3 linked regions of the Saccharomyces cerevisiae S288C genome follow. The main gene of each other region encodes a partner of the protein of the gene in region 2 in a complex. Each region holds a gene or a part of one and is shown on either strand. Other genes may lie near its edges.

What was found.
Region 1: GLE1 (region 2) and NUP170 share a complex: the UniProt entries of both Saccharomyces cerevisiae proteins name them as parts of the nuclear pore complex.
Region 3: GLE1 (region 2) and ASM4 share a complex: the UniProt entries of both Saccharomyces cerevisiae proteins name them as parts of the nuclear pore complex.

The regions. Positions count from the first base shown.
Region 1 is NC_001134.8:73,286-77,043, reverse strand, and holds the start of NUP170 (Nup170p), read right to left. Parts: upstream 1,786-3,758; coding exon 1-1,785. Other genes in the region: glutamyl-tRNA(Gln) amidotransferase subunit PET112, read left to right, coding at 2,349-3,758. UniProt on the Saccharomyces cerevisiae protein: Functions as a component of the nuclear pore complex (NPC).
Region 2 is NC_001136.10:86,189-89,946, forward strand, and holds GLE1 (nucleoporin GLE1), read left to right. Parts: upstream 1-2,059; coding exon 2,060-3,676; downstream 3,677-3,758. Other genes in the region: active spliceosome conformation promoter CWC2, read right to left, coding at 19-1,038; snoRNA-binding protein NHP2, read left to right, coding at 1,324-1,794. UniProt on the Saccharomyces cerevisiae protein: Functions as a component of the nuclear pore complex (NPC).
Region 3 is NC_001136.10:297,938-301,695, forward strand, and holds ASM4 (FG-nucleoporin ASM4), read right to left. Parts: upstream 2,067-3,758; coding exon 480-2,066; downstream 1-479. Other genes in the region: NUR1 (Nur1p), read left to right, coding at 1-337; LUC7 (Luc7p), read right to left, coding at 2,277-3,062; YDL086W (carboxymethylenebutenolidase), read left to right, coding at 3,476-3,758. UniProt on the Saccharomyces cerevisiae protein: Functions as a component of the nuclear pore complex (NPC).

The sequences.
Region 1 (3,758 bases), on a different chromosome or scaffold from region 2:
ATTTTCAACGTACTTACCGTGTGTTTTCAAGATACCATAATCTGGAACACTAACGAAAAGCTTATGTTGTAAAGTAACTGGCTGTTGTTTGACAGTTTTAGACCCTGCGGTAGCGGTCGTTCCAGTAACAGATGAGTTCTCTTTTTTTTCTTGTTGATGAGTTTGCTGAGATGACTTGATCACAGCGGAAAAAAATATGCCTGGGGAAATAATTGTACTTGCTTTTGTAGTCTCTAGTAATACAGATGATTTCTTTTGGAATTTTAAGAGGACTGGTTCGGAAGACATTAGATTTGAAAAGAAAGGAAAGCTTCTCTTCGCCTGTTCCTGTTGTTGATGTAGTAATTCTTGTTGGATGACTTCAGGAGTTACAGAACTAGGGGGGAACTTGATCGATTCTAACCTCAAAGCTTCGATGTTAAATCTGCCCATGGAACCATTAAAGTACAAACGCACACCACCTACTGTTAAAGCAACTAAAAACAAATTGTTGTTTTCTTCTGGTGCAACAGAGCTTATCTTGACAATTTTTAGGTATTTGGGGCCCAAAATCGGTGCTGCCCTTGCCGTCGTGGTACCTATGATCCTACTGATGTAGGCAGGCTCAATTGACATGGGTCCTTCCAGTGATTTTTCTGTTATTACGTATGCTCTAATGGTGGATTTGGAGGATAATGAATAGATGATTCCTCTTTGTTGGTCAATAGTTAGTTGCGTGATGGTCTCTTGAGAAAATCCGCCATTACCGTTAGAATTATCTTCGAACAAAGCCTGAATAAAATCAACACCTGGAATCTGCGATAACATGTTAGTAGGTAGAAGACTTAATAGGGCAGACTTTGTCAGACAGACCTTACTACATTTACTATTGAACCAGTCATCGGAACCTGAGTAGTGCAACTCCCAGATATTCAGGCCACTGGCTTGGCCTGCGAAGAAAATTCTACCCGATCTTTCATGAGACACAATGTCTATTACATCAATGCCTTGTACAGGGACTGATAGATGTGTATTGAATACACTGAGTTCGTTGGTGGCTTTGTCTAAGGAAATAGCAAACATGAAAAGCTCCATTGTCGTGCTTATCAAAAGTAGATGCTTCACGGCAGGCACAAAGGTGTTTGGCTTAGGTCTTACCAAGGCGACTTTTTGAATGGTATGCTTCATATCATCTACCACCTGATACTCATTGTCATTGTTAATATTCCAGAGTATCAGTTTATTATCAATAGTTATCCAACATCGATTTAACTCCGGGAAAATACCCATATCAGTTTTTGTCTGTGAAGTGGAAAATTCATGCAAAATCTCGTCCGGAATGTTGAACACATCTTGCTTTTCAAATGGAGTAAACGCTCCTAAGCCGTTTTTTTCTCTGCTGAAGTTATAATCTACCCCGCTGTTATAATAAGATCGTTCGTCGAGTACGGGAGTGTTACTATCTTTATGTTGTAGATGGTCAATGTACTTTCCCGCTAAGTCCAGGGGCTTAGAAGTCCCCATCCCGGAAACACGAATGTGCTCATTCATGTTGGACATATTAGGATTGATGCTGCCAGAGGTCGCCCCCATTGCGCTTGCCCTCATGAGTGGGTTGGACCCGGTAATTGGATATGAGTTTAATATGTGTGTAGGTTGTTGTTGCGCCTTGGTTGCAGATGAGGCCAACTCATTCAGTCCATTCCTGGGTACTTCTTGATGATTCGTTAAAGGGTACGATCTGCTATCTGAAAACGTTTCACCGGCAGCAGCGGGCCCATTGTTGTGGAAAAAACTTTGAAACATGAACAACCGCTAGAAAGAGAAGTAATAAACGCACTCTGCTTTTTTGTCCGCTTGTCAGATCCTAGGTTCCAGTAATTCTCCGAAAGAACTGTTCACTAATATGTTCAGAATTCTACAATATTAATGTCCCATCTCGAAAAATTGTTTTTTTTTTTACAAATAAAGTAACAATCCTTCGTGCAACACGATATAGAGTACATTGAAAGCGTGTCACAAAGAACACATCCATAATCATGGTCCATTGCAAACATTTCAAAGTAAAGAAGAGGATATTTGGGTCTTAGAATCTCATTGGAAACAATCCTCGTTTACTAGAGACGTTAATTCCACTTTCAAAAGCCCTGAAAGATTAACTTTCTGATTTTAGGTTTATTATTTTTTTGTTGTATGCCCTTGTTAAAAATTTAAATAACCCTTGTTTAGATAGGGTTTAGTTTTCCCTTTTGTTATGATAATAGTAGTTATAGTAGTAATAAGCTTGACGTGATGTACTTAGTCGTACCACCTAGTAATAGTGTTATTGTTAGCATTCCTGTCCAAAAAGACCAGAGTAGGAACTAGATATGTTGCGGCTTGCACGTTTTTATTCTTTGGCCAGAACCAAAGCCATACATAGTCACGGTGCACCCTTCAGGCCGGAATATGCATTGAAGTGTGGATTGGAGATTCATACGCAATTGAACACCAAAAACAAGCTTTTTTCACAATCAACGAATAGCGCCACATCTCTAGTGGATGCACCAAACCATCATACTAGTTATTATGACATAGCTCTACCGGGAACGCAGCCGGTTTTGAATCTGGAAGCAATCTTGTTTGCCATGAAACTATCCTTGGCACTGGGTTCTCAAGTGAATAGCATATCTCAGTTTGATAGGAAGCATTATTTTTATGGAGATCAACCTCAAGGCTATCAACTGACGCAGCACTACAGGCCGTTTGCTCGGGGTGGGAAGATCAATCTGTCGAAGGAATTGGATGATATCGATGAATCAGCCAAGGAAATCGGTATCTTACAGTTGCAGATAGAGCAGGACACGGGGAAGTCACACTATACAGAGACAGATAAAGACGTTATTACTTTGGTTGATTTAAATAGGTCGAACGTCCCGCTTATCGAATTGGTAACTAAACCAGATTTCAGTGATATTAAACAGGTTAGAGCGTTTATTAAAAAATATCAGAATTTGGTACGTCATTTGCACATTTCCTCTGGGGACCTGGAAACGGGCGCCATGCGAGTGGACGTTAACCTCTCAATTAATGAATATGCACGCGTTGAGTTGAAGAATTTACCCAATACTAGTTCCATCATCAATGCAATCAAGTACGAATATCAGCGGCAAGTTGAGTTGATTTCTGTGGGTGACACTAGCTCACTGATGGAGCCAGAAACAAGGGGCTGGACAGGCTCATCAACGGTGAAGTTGAGAAGCAAAGAAACCACGATCGATTACAGGTACATGCCTGATCCAGAATTGCCGTATATCAACCTCGCACCAGACGTTATCAGTGGTGTGAGAGGGTTGATGCCCCAATTACCGGACGATATAATGAGAATTCTTATGAAGAAACCCTATCAATTATCATTGAAGGACGCCAAGATTCTGACTTATAATAGTAACCAAAACGATATGTACAATCATGAGGCGTTGAGATCGTACTACTTAGACACCTTCCGTGAATTTTCCAAGCTTGCTGGTGAACGTAGTAACGCGAAATTACCTACGAATTGGATAATCCATGAATTCTTGGGAGATTTGAACAAGCTACAAATTCCATTGGCCAAAGCAAAAGAAATTTTGCCTCCTCCGGTTTTCGCCCAGTTTTTGAAGTTATTGCATGAAGAGGTTATATCCGCAACTAGTGGTAAAATGTTACTGTTTCACATATTGGAAAATTTCGAGCAGAGTAACTGCCAAGATTTGTCTATTCCAGATTTTTCAAAACTAATCGAGAAATTTGAATTGCAT
Region 2 (3,758 bases):
TGGAAACGATTTTCTTCTCTAATCCTCATCAGAGGAGAGGTAATCGAGCAAGGGACCACCAAGCTTACCAACAGATGGCTTTGATGAAATATTTTCTCTACTGATATTTTTTTTCACTTTCTTCAATTTTTCTATAAAATCATCACTCTCCATTCCATTATCTAATGGCAATAGTCTTTTCTTGACATTATCAACACTTGCTTCTGGAAATGTCCTGTCTAACCTTTCATTATTCTTATTATTAACCTCAGTGCCAGCACTATTGGTATTGTTATTGATTAGATGCACCATCATGTTTAAAGACTCTAACTTCAGTTCTTCTTGCAGTCTTTTCTGTGCAGCGGGGTCTGGATCTTCATTTGCCCATTTCACCAATAGTCCAGTACCCTCCCTTCTATCATCCCATTCTTTATCGCTGGGTAGCAGCAATGTCTGATTGCTCATGGCTTCTTTGGCAAATTCTGCATTAGCTTGATATTTAAACTTCACAAATCCACAGTTTTTGCTCTCAACGTATCGTATTCTATCAATATCACCCAATCGAGAAAATACAAATCGAATTCTGCTTTCTATCTGAGCTGGCTTCAAATGCTTGCTATTCAATGCTCCATCAATACCACCTACATACAATGTCTTGTTTTTCTTCCTAAATGAACCGATCCCGCCCATATCCTCTCTATAGTCAGCAAATTTTTCTCTACCAAAACAGTCCAATACCTCTGTCCTCAGGGCCAGTTTACCTATATCTTCTTCGTCTGGTATATGATGCAGATATTCACATTTAGGGCCAAGGCAACACATACCCTTTGCAAAAAATAGACAGAAGAACAACTGGCCATCATTATCGCCCCTAGTCTTCCCAGAATGAAGTTGCGGCTGCAAAGCAAATGGACTAACAAATCGTGTATTCCCCGCAAACCCTTGGGACCATTTATTATACCATATATTAAACGTCAATCCAGTCTGCGCCGGTATAGAGGAGGGCAGTTCTGACTCCTTCACTTGCACTTTCGCGGATTTATCCCTCCAAGATGTCATCCAAATTTCTATCAATGCGTATACTGTCTTACTAACGTCGTTACTACCTTAAGGCCCATCGCCAGTAGTCTTTATTATGATCCAGCCTTCAATACATAATGGAAAATTTCATCATTACCCGCATATGTACGTATGTAACGATGGAATGCTCAAAAACTGAAAAAAATTTTTCTGAAAAAAAGTGATGAGGAATAAAGAAAAGTAAAAAACGAATGCATGATATAGTAGTAGTAAATGGTCAATGGATCATTGGGTAGCAGAGAAACGGAAACAAGTGCAGTAAAAATGGGTAAAGACAACAAGGAACATAAGGAAAGCAAAGAAAGCAAAACCGTAGACAACTATGAGGCCAGAATGCCTGCTGTGTTGCCATTCGCTAAACCATTGGCCTCTAAGAAACTAAACAAGAAGGTCTTGAAGACCGTGAAGAAGGCTTCCAAGGCCAAGAATGTTAAAAGAGGTGTCAAGGAAGTTGTCAAGGCCTTAAGAAAGGGTGAAAAAGGTTTAGTCGTCATCGCCGGTGACATTTCTCCAGCTGATGTTATTTCCCACATCCCAGTCTTATGTGAAGATCACTCTGTCCCATACATCTTCATACCTTCAAAGCAAGACTTAGGTGCCGCTGGCGCTACAAAAAGACCTACCTCAGTTGTCTTTATCGTCCCAGGTAGCAATAAGAAAAAAGATGGAAAAAATAAAGAAGAAGAATACAAGGAATCTTTCAACGAAGTTGTCAAAGAAGTTCAAGCTTTATGAAAAAAGTTCGCTTCTTAACCATATTAGAAATCTAGAAGAAATAAAAAAAATCTGGCATTAGATATATATTTTGACTGTAGGCCTTCTGTATATTATATAATACTACTAATAACATCAAATGTTTGTGACTTTTCGGGTAACCGGGCTTCGTTCTACTGTTCCACTTTTTGTATGTTTAATGAAAATATCATCAAAGAAATAGGTATATAATTGATAACAAGAGAATCGCGGGCCGTTGCTACAGGATATTCTGCAGAGTCGAAGAATGAGATTTGTGTTCGATGAGGTTTTCAATTCAGATACTGATTCTCCAGAATTTGAGGAAACATGTTCTACAACATCTTCTACGTCATCGCAATGCCCTACACCTGAGCCGAGCCCAGCAATAAAGTTACCTTCATTCACGAAAGTTGGCACGAAGAAATTGGTAAATGAGTCGGTAGTTATTTTAGATCCTGCTCTAGAAAACGCCTTGCGCGATTTGAACCTTCAATCGAAACTGATCCCCATTAATGAGCCCATTGTAGCCGCGTCATCGATAATAGTACCGCATTCAACCAATATGCCACTACCGAGAGCATCGCATTCGTCATTGCTAGATAATGCTAAGAACTCAAATGCGACAGCACCCTTACTCGAGGCAATAGAAGAATCTTTTCAAAGGAAAATGCAAAACTTGGTGCTTGCCAATCAGAAAGAAATTCAATCTATTAGAGAAAATAAACGTCGTGTTGAAGAGCAACGTAAGCGAAAAGAGGAGGAAGAGCGCAAACGTAAGGAAGCTGAGGAAAAGGCCAAGCGGGAGCAGGAATTATTACGTCAAAAGAAGGATGAAGAAGAACGTAAACGCAAAGAAGCTGAAGCAAAGCTAGCGCAGCAGAAACAAGAAGAAGAAAGGAAGAAAATAGAAGAACAGAATGAAAAGGAAAGACAATTGAAAAAAGAACATGAAGCCAAATTATTGCAGCAGAAGGATAAATTGGGTAAAGCAGTTACAAACTTTGATAAAATCTCCAAAATGTTTTGGCATTATAAAGACAAAATTGCTCAAATAAAGCAAGACATAGTTCTGCCTATAAAAAAAGCTGATGTGAATGTAAGGAATTTGCTCTCACGTCATAAAAGGAAAATTAACCCGAAATTCGGACAATTAACTAATAGCAACCAGCAACTTTTTAAAATACAGAATGAACTAACTCAATTGATAAATGATACTAAAGGCGACTCTCTAGCATATCATTGGATTTTAAACTTTATTGCCAAAGCCGTAGTACATCAGGCGGAAACAGAAGTCAGGGTAAAACCAGAGTCTGCTCTGCCCCTAGGGAAATTGACTTTATATTTGTTAGTCCAATTCCCAGAGTTACAGGAATTGTTTATGGCAAGACTTGTCAAGAAATGCCCCTTTGTGATAGGATTCACGTGTGAGATTGACACAGAAAAAGGCCGTCAAAACATGGGATGGAAAAGAAACAACGAGAATAAATGGGAAGATAACACATCCTACGATGAGAGAATGGGCGGGATCTTATCATTATTTGCCATAATAACGAGATTACAGTTACCTCAAGAATTTATCACCACCACGAGTCATCCTTTCCCCATCGCATTATCGTGGCATATTTTGGCTAGAATATGTAATACGCCACTAAATTTAATAACAAATACCCATTTTGTCATACTCGGTTCGTGGTGGGATGCCGCTGCCGTACAGTTTCTTCAGGCGTATGGGAACCAAGCCTCTAAATTGCTAATCTTGATTGGTGAGGAATTGACCTCCAGAATGGCTGAAAAGAAATATGTGGGTGCTGCGAGATTAAGAATTTTATTAGAGGCCTGGCAAAATAATAATATGGAGTCCTTTCCGGAAATGTCTCCTTAGAAAATTCTGAACTTATATATGCACATTATGCTAATACACTTTATAATGACTTTATTTTAAACGTCGCCATTTTTAGTTTTAT
Region 3 (3,758 bases), 210 kb from region 2:
AATAAAGGATTATGGAGGCATTTCTCAAGTATCTGACCATCAAAGTCATCCCATTGGTTTTCATTATTCTCCTAGAATGTCCCCATATTATAGGGATAAAGTTTTGGATAACAATTTGGCTCAATCATCGTCAAATGAAAATTTAGAGAAGGGCGGAGCTTACCTGCCGAATCAAGACCAAAATAGACCATCGAAATCCCTGAGCCCATTGAGAAAAACGCCTTTAAGCGCACGACAGAAAAGGTTTGAAGGCTCAGAGTTCAATGTATTGAATAAGAATGATATTAATTCCATTCTTCGCTCTCCAAAGAAAAAGAAGAACTATCACAAAAGATAACGTTTCTTAATTATGTCTAAGTATATACAGTTACGTAAAAATCAATAAACAAAAGTAAAACAATGCTGTTTGAAAAGTTATCAAAATAATAAATGTATGAAGTATTGTAAATGTTCATGAATAATTAGCTGGACGATTTCTGTTATAGGTCATTCCAACCAAATAACCAATTACTCAGTTTGTGCGTAAAACCAGCAGGTTCATTATTTCTGTATTTCGCTTCTTGCTGACGCATTTTCGATTCTAGGTTTCGCAACAGATTAGGAATATTCGAATTCGGTCCTGCATTTTGCATGAATGGCAATTTGCCATCTATTACATCCAGCCGCTTATTCGGAGAATTTGCTACTATTGGACTTGAAATATTTGTTGGATTACCAGCATGACCGGCAGGAGTATTATCGTCTTCCCTCAGAAGAGTGCCATCAGTTATTATTACGTTTGGTGGGGATGGTGTATTAGATGTCGACGATGTGGAGGAATTTTGATACATAGAAACGTTGAATTCTCCAATGTCGTCGACATTATCAATTTTGCAGCCAGCTAATTGCTCCACCGCATTTTTTGAATATGGGATGCAACCAATCAAAGAACCGCGAAATATGGTTCCATTTTCCTGCAGTGCTCTCAAAGCAGAAGATGGAGAATTATAAGTGAGTTTGACCCAACTTTCACCAGTAAATATTGGATATTTTTTGTTATTCGACTCATTATTTCTGCCTTTTAAAGTAATAGATTTATTAACAGTAGAATCGTTTTCATCACAGCCTGTATCATGATTATGGAATATTCTGAAGGTGTTGGGGTTAATCCCGCGACCCAATCGCAATACTTGAAAGTCTTCCATAATATGACCGAAATGGGAGAAGTGTTCAATCAATTCATTGGAAATTGATTCAGGATAGCCAAATACGATAATTGCGCTCAAACTAGAAGACTTGGAAGATGTTTCATGGACTTTATTGTTTGTTTCGGCGGTGTTGTAATTATTATCTAAATGGTTCTGTTCAATGTTTGCTATTCTAACATAAGAGTCTTTATCAAAAACATTTGGAGTATTTTTGGAATCATAAGCTGACCTATTTGTTTTCTTCGCCGTGTATTTGTCGGTAACAAACTGAGTTGTTAATGATGGAATAGAACCGAATTCATCCTCGCGTTGCCAATCCTGTAAAGTAACGGAGGGTGGAATATCGTTAAAATTTGACAACAGAGAATTGATGTCATTATTTGCCGCAGACTTATTTCTTTCATTATGCTTGGAATCTTGATTTTGCTTACTGAAATTTCTCATAGTAGCGTTCATAGAAGATGAATCATCATTCTGGTTGATGTCAGAAGAAGAATTTTGCTTTGTTGTCTTCCTTCTTATCACCGTATGAGGAGTGAATCTCTTTTTAGGATTATTCACCCAGCTAGGATTATTCCCTTGGCCATGTTGGCTTATGTTATTTGTGCCGTTTTTAATGTTGTTGTTGTTGATGCTATTGTTACCGATATTACTACTATAGTTATTGGCGTTTACAGTATTGGAAAGTGAGTTTCCAAATCGTAAAGAACTTGCATCGGATGATCCATTGAATTGCAAGTGTTGCTGCTGTTGTTGTGGTTGCGGTTGCGGTTGTGGCTGCAACTGTGATTGCGATTGAAACATCTGGGTTGTCTGTGGTGCTTGCGACGTGAGGTTAGTAAATCCACCGTTATTATTGCCTGAACGTATTCCAAACATTTTAATTTGCCGTTCCTTGTTTTCAGGTTACAGAGAAAAAAAAAAAAAGAGAGCGAATAAAAAACTTAAATAGATAGGGAAACGATATGTCTACCTTATCGGGAAATAAACTATGCAGAGGTATGTGTGTGATATTCACAAACCTTTCTTCTTTCATAAGTACTCTCCTTCGAACAAAATTTTTCTAGCATCATTTTTTTATGTATGGCCCTACACAAAGCGTCTTCCGGGTAGTGTAGTAGCTGTCTTGCTGGCGTTAGTTGTCCGGTTATTCTTCATTAGCCGATCATAATCCTCTCTCATCTTGACATATCCCAGATGAATCTTCCCCAAGAAGTGGTCAGCAAGCCTTCTGTCTGTATCTAAACGCGATAGGTATGCCCCACACACCTCGCAAACCTGTAACTTTTGCTGGGCGCTCTGGCCCACGTTTTCTGTAATGTTTCGTACACGTTTTGCAACTTCTTTCCTTTTACTAATCAGTTCTTGTAATTTGACTGACTGTAGCATACCCATACTGACTTCATCTGCACGAATTAAAGAATCAATCTCTTGTCCCATTAGGCCTATCCGCACGTCCAAGACATCTAGTTCTTCGGTAACCTGCTGAATCTTCATTCGTTCCTCAGCGGTGTGTTTTAGATTTTGTAGTGCTACGGATATCTGGCCATTACACTCATTAACAAACCGAGATAGAATGGCCAGATATTCTCTTTCGAATTCGGGAAACGTTTTGCCCTGCTTGACCTCTCTCTCGTACTGAATTTTATGCTTGGTAAGATGCATCTGCGGGCATTTTCCCAGGCTCTGCTTGGTGCCCTGAAACAGGTCGTAGGGGCACTCGCCAACAAGGTATGACTTGCAGATCTTGGGATCGTGTAGTCCGAGGTCTCTTTTTTGATGCGAATACCTGTTGTGGCGGAAACTGAAGTCCCTGCCCATCAGCTGTTCGACGAGTTTGCGTTGTTCTGCGGCAGGCGTTGACATAGTTGACATTCTGACGGTAGTTGGCAGCTTTCTGCTGGGAGTGTAGAGCCTTTTGTAGTATAACTTTTTGTTCTTTTCTTTCTTCTCTAATGCCTGAGGCTTCGGCGGTTATTCGGGTAATACATTAAGGAAGTTGCCATGATGTGGAAGAATACGACTAGTCAGTTAGCGATGGCCAGCTCCTTTACCTAAATCATGTGGCCTATCTTCAGATAGCATACTACCACCAACCATCAATACCTCAATGGCTTTCAACAAGTACCCTTCGTCGGGTTTTCAGCTTTTTTCCTACTTTGCTGGATGCTTTGTGAAGATCAGGAAGAAATTTTATCGGAAAAACCTCACTAGGAGAAACTATATAAAAGAAGGGTCAGACTGAAAATGACGCCGTAATAAACTCGTGGTAGTAGATAAAGCAAACAATGTTGATTACTGAGACCTTTCATGATGTGCAGACATCATACGGCACCACTCTGCGTATATACGTATATTCTCCTAAGATTGCAGGCTATCCACAAGCTAAGTTTCCTGGGGTGATTCTGTACAGTGAAATTTACCAAGTGACGGGTCCGGTTCGTCGTTTTGGTCAAAGAATTGCGTCTGAAGGTTACGTTGTGGTGGCACCTGCCATATACCACAACTTTATGGGCCCTGAAGCGTTGCCCTATGACGTGCAGGGTACCGATATTGGTAACGAGTACAAGA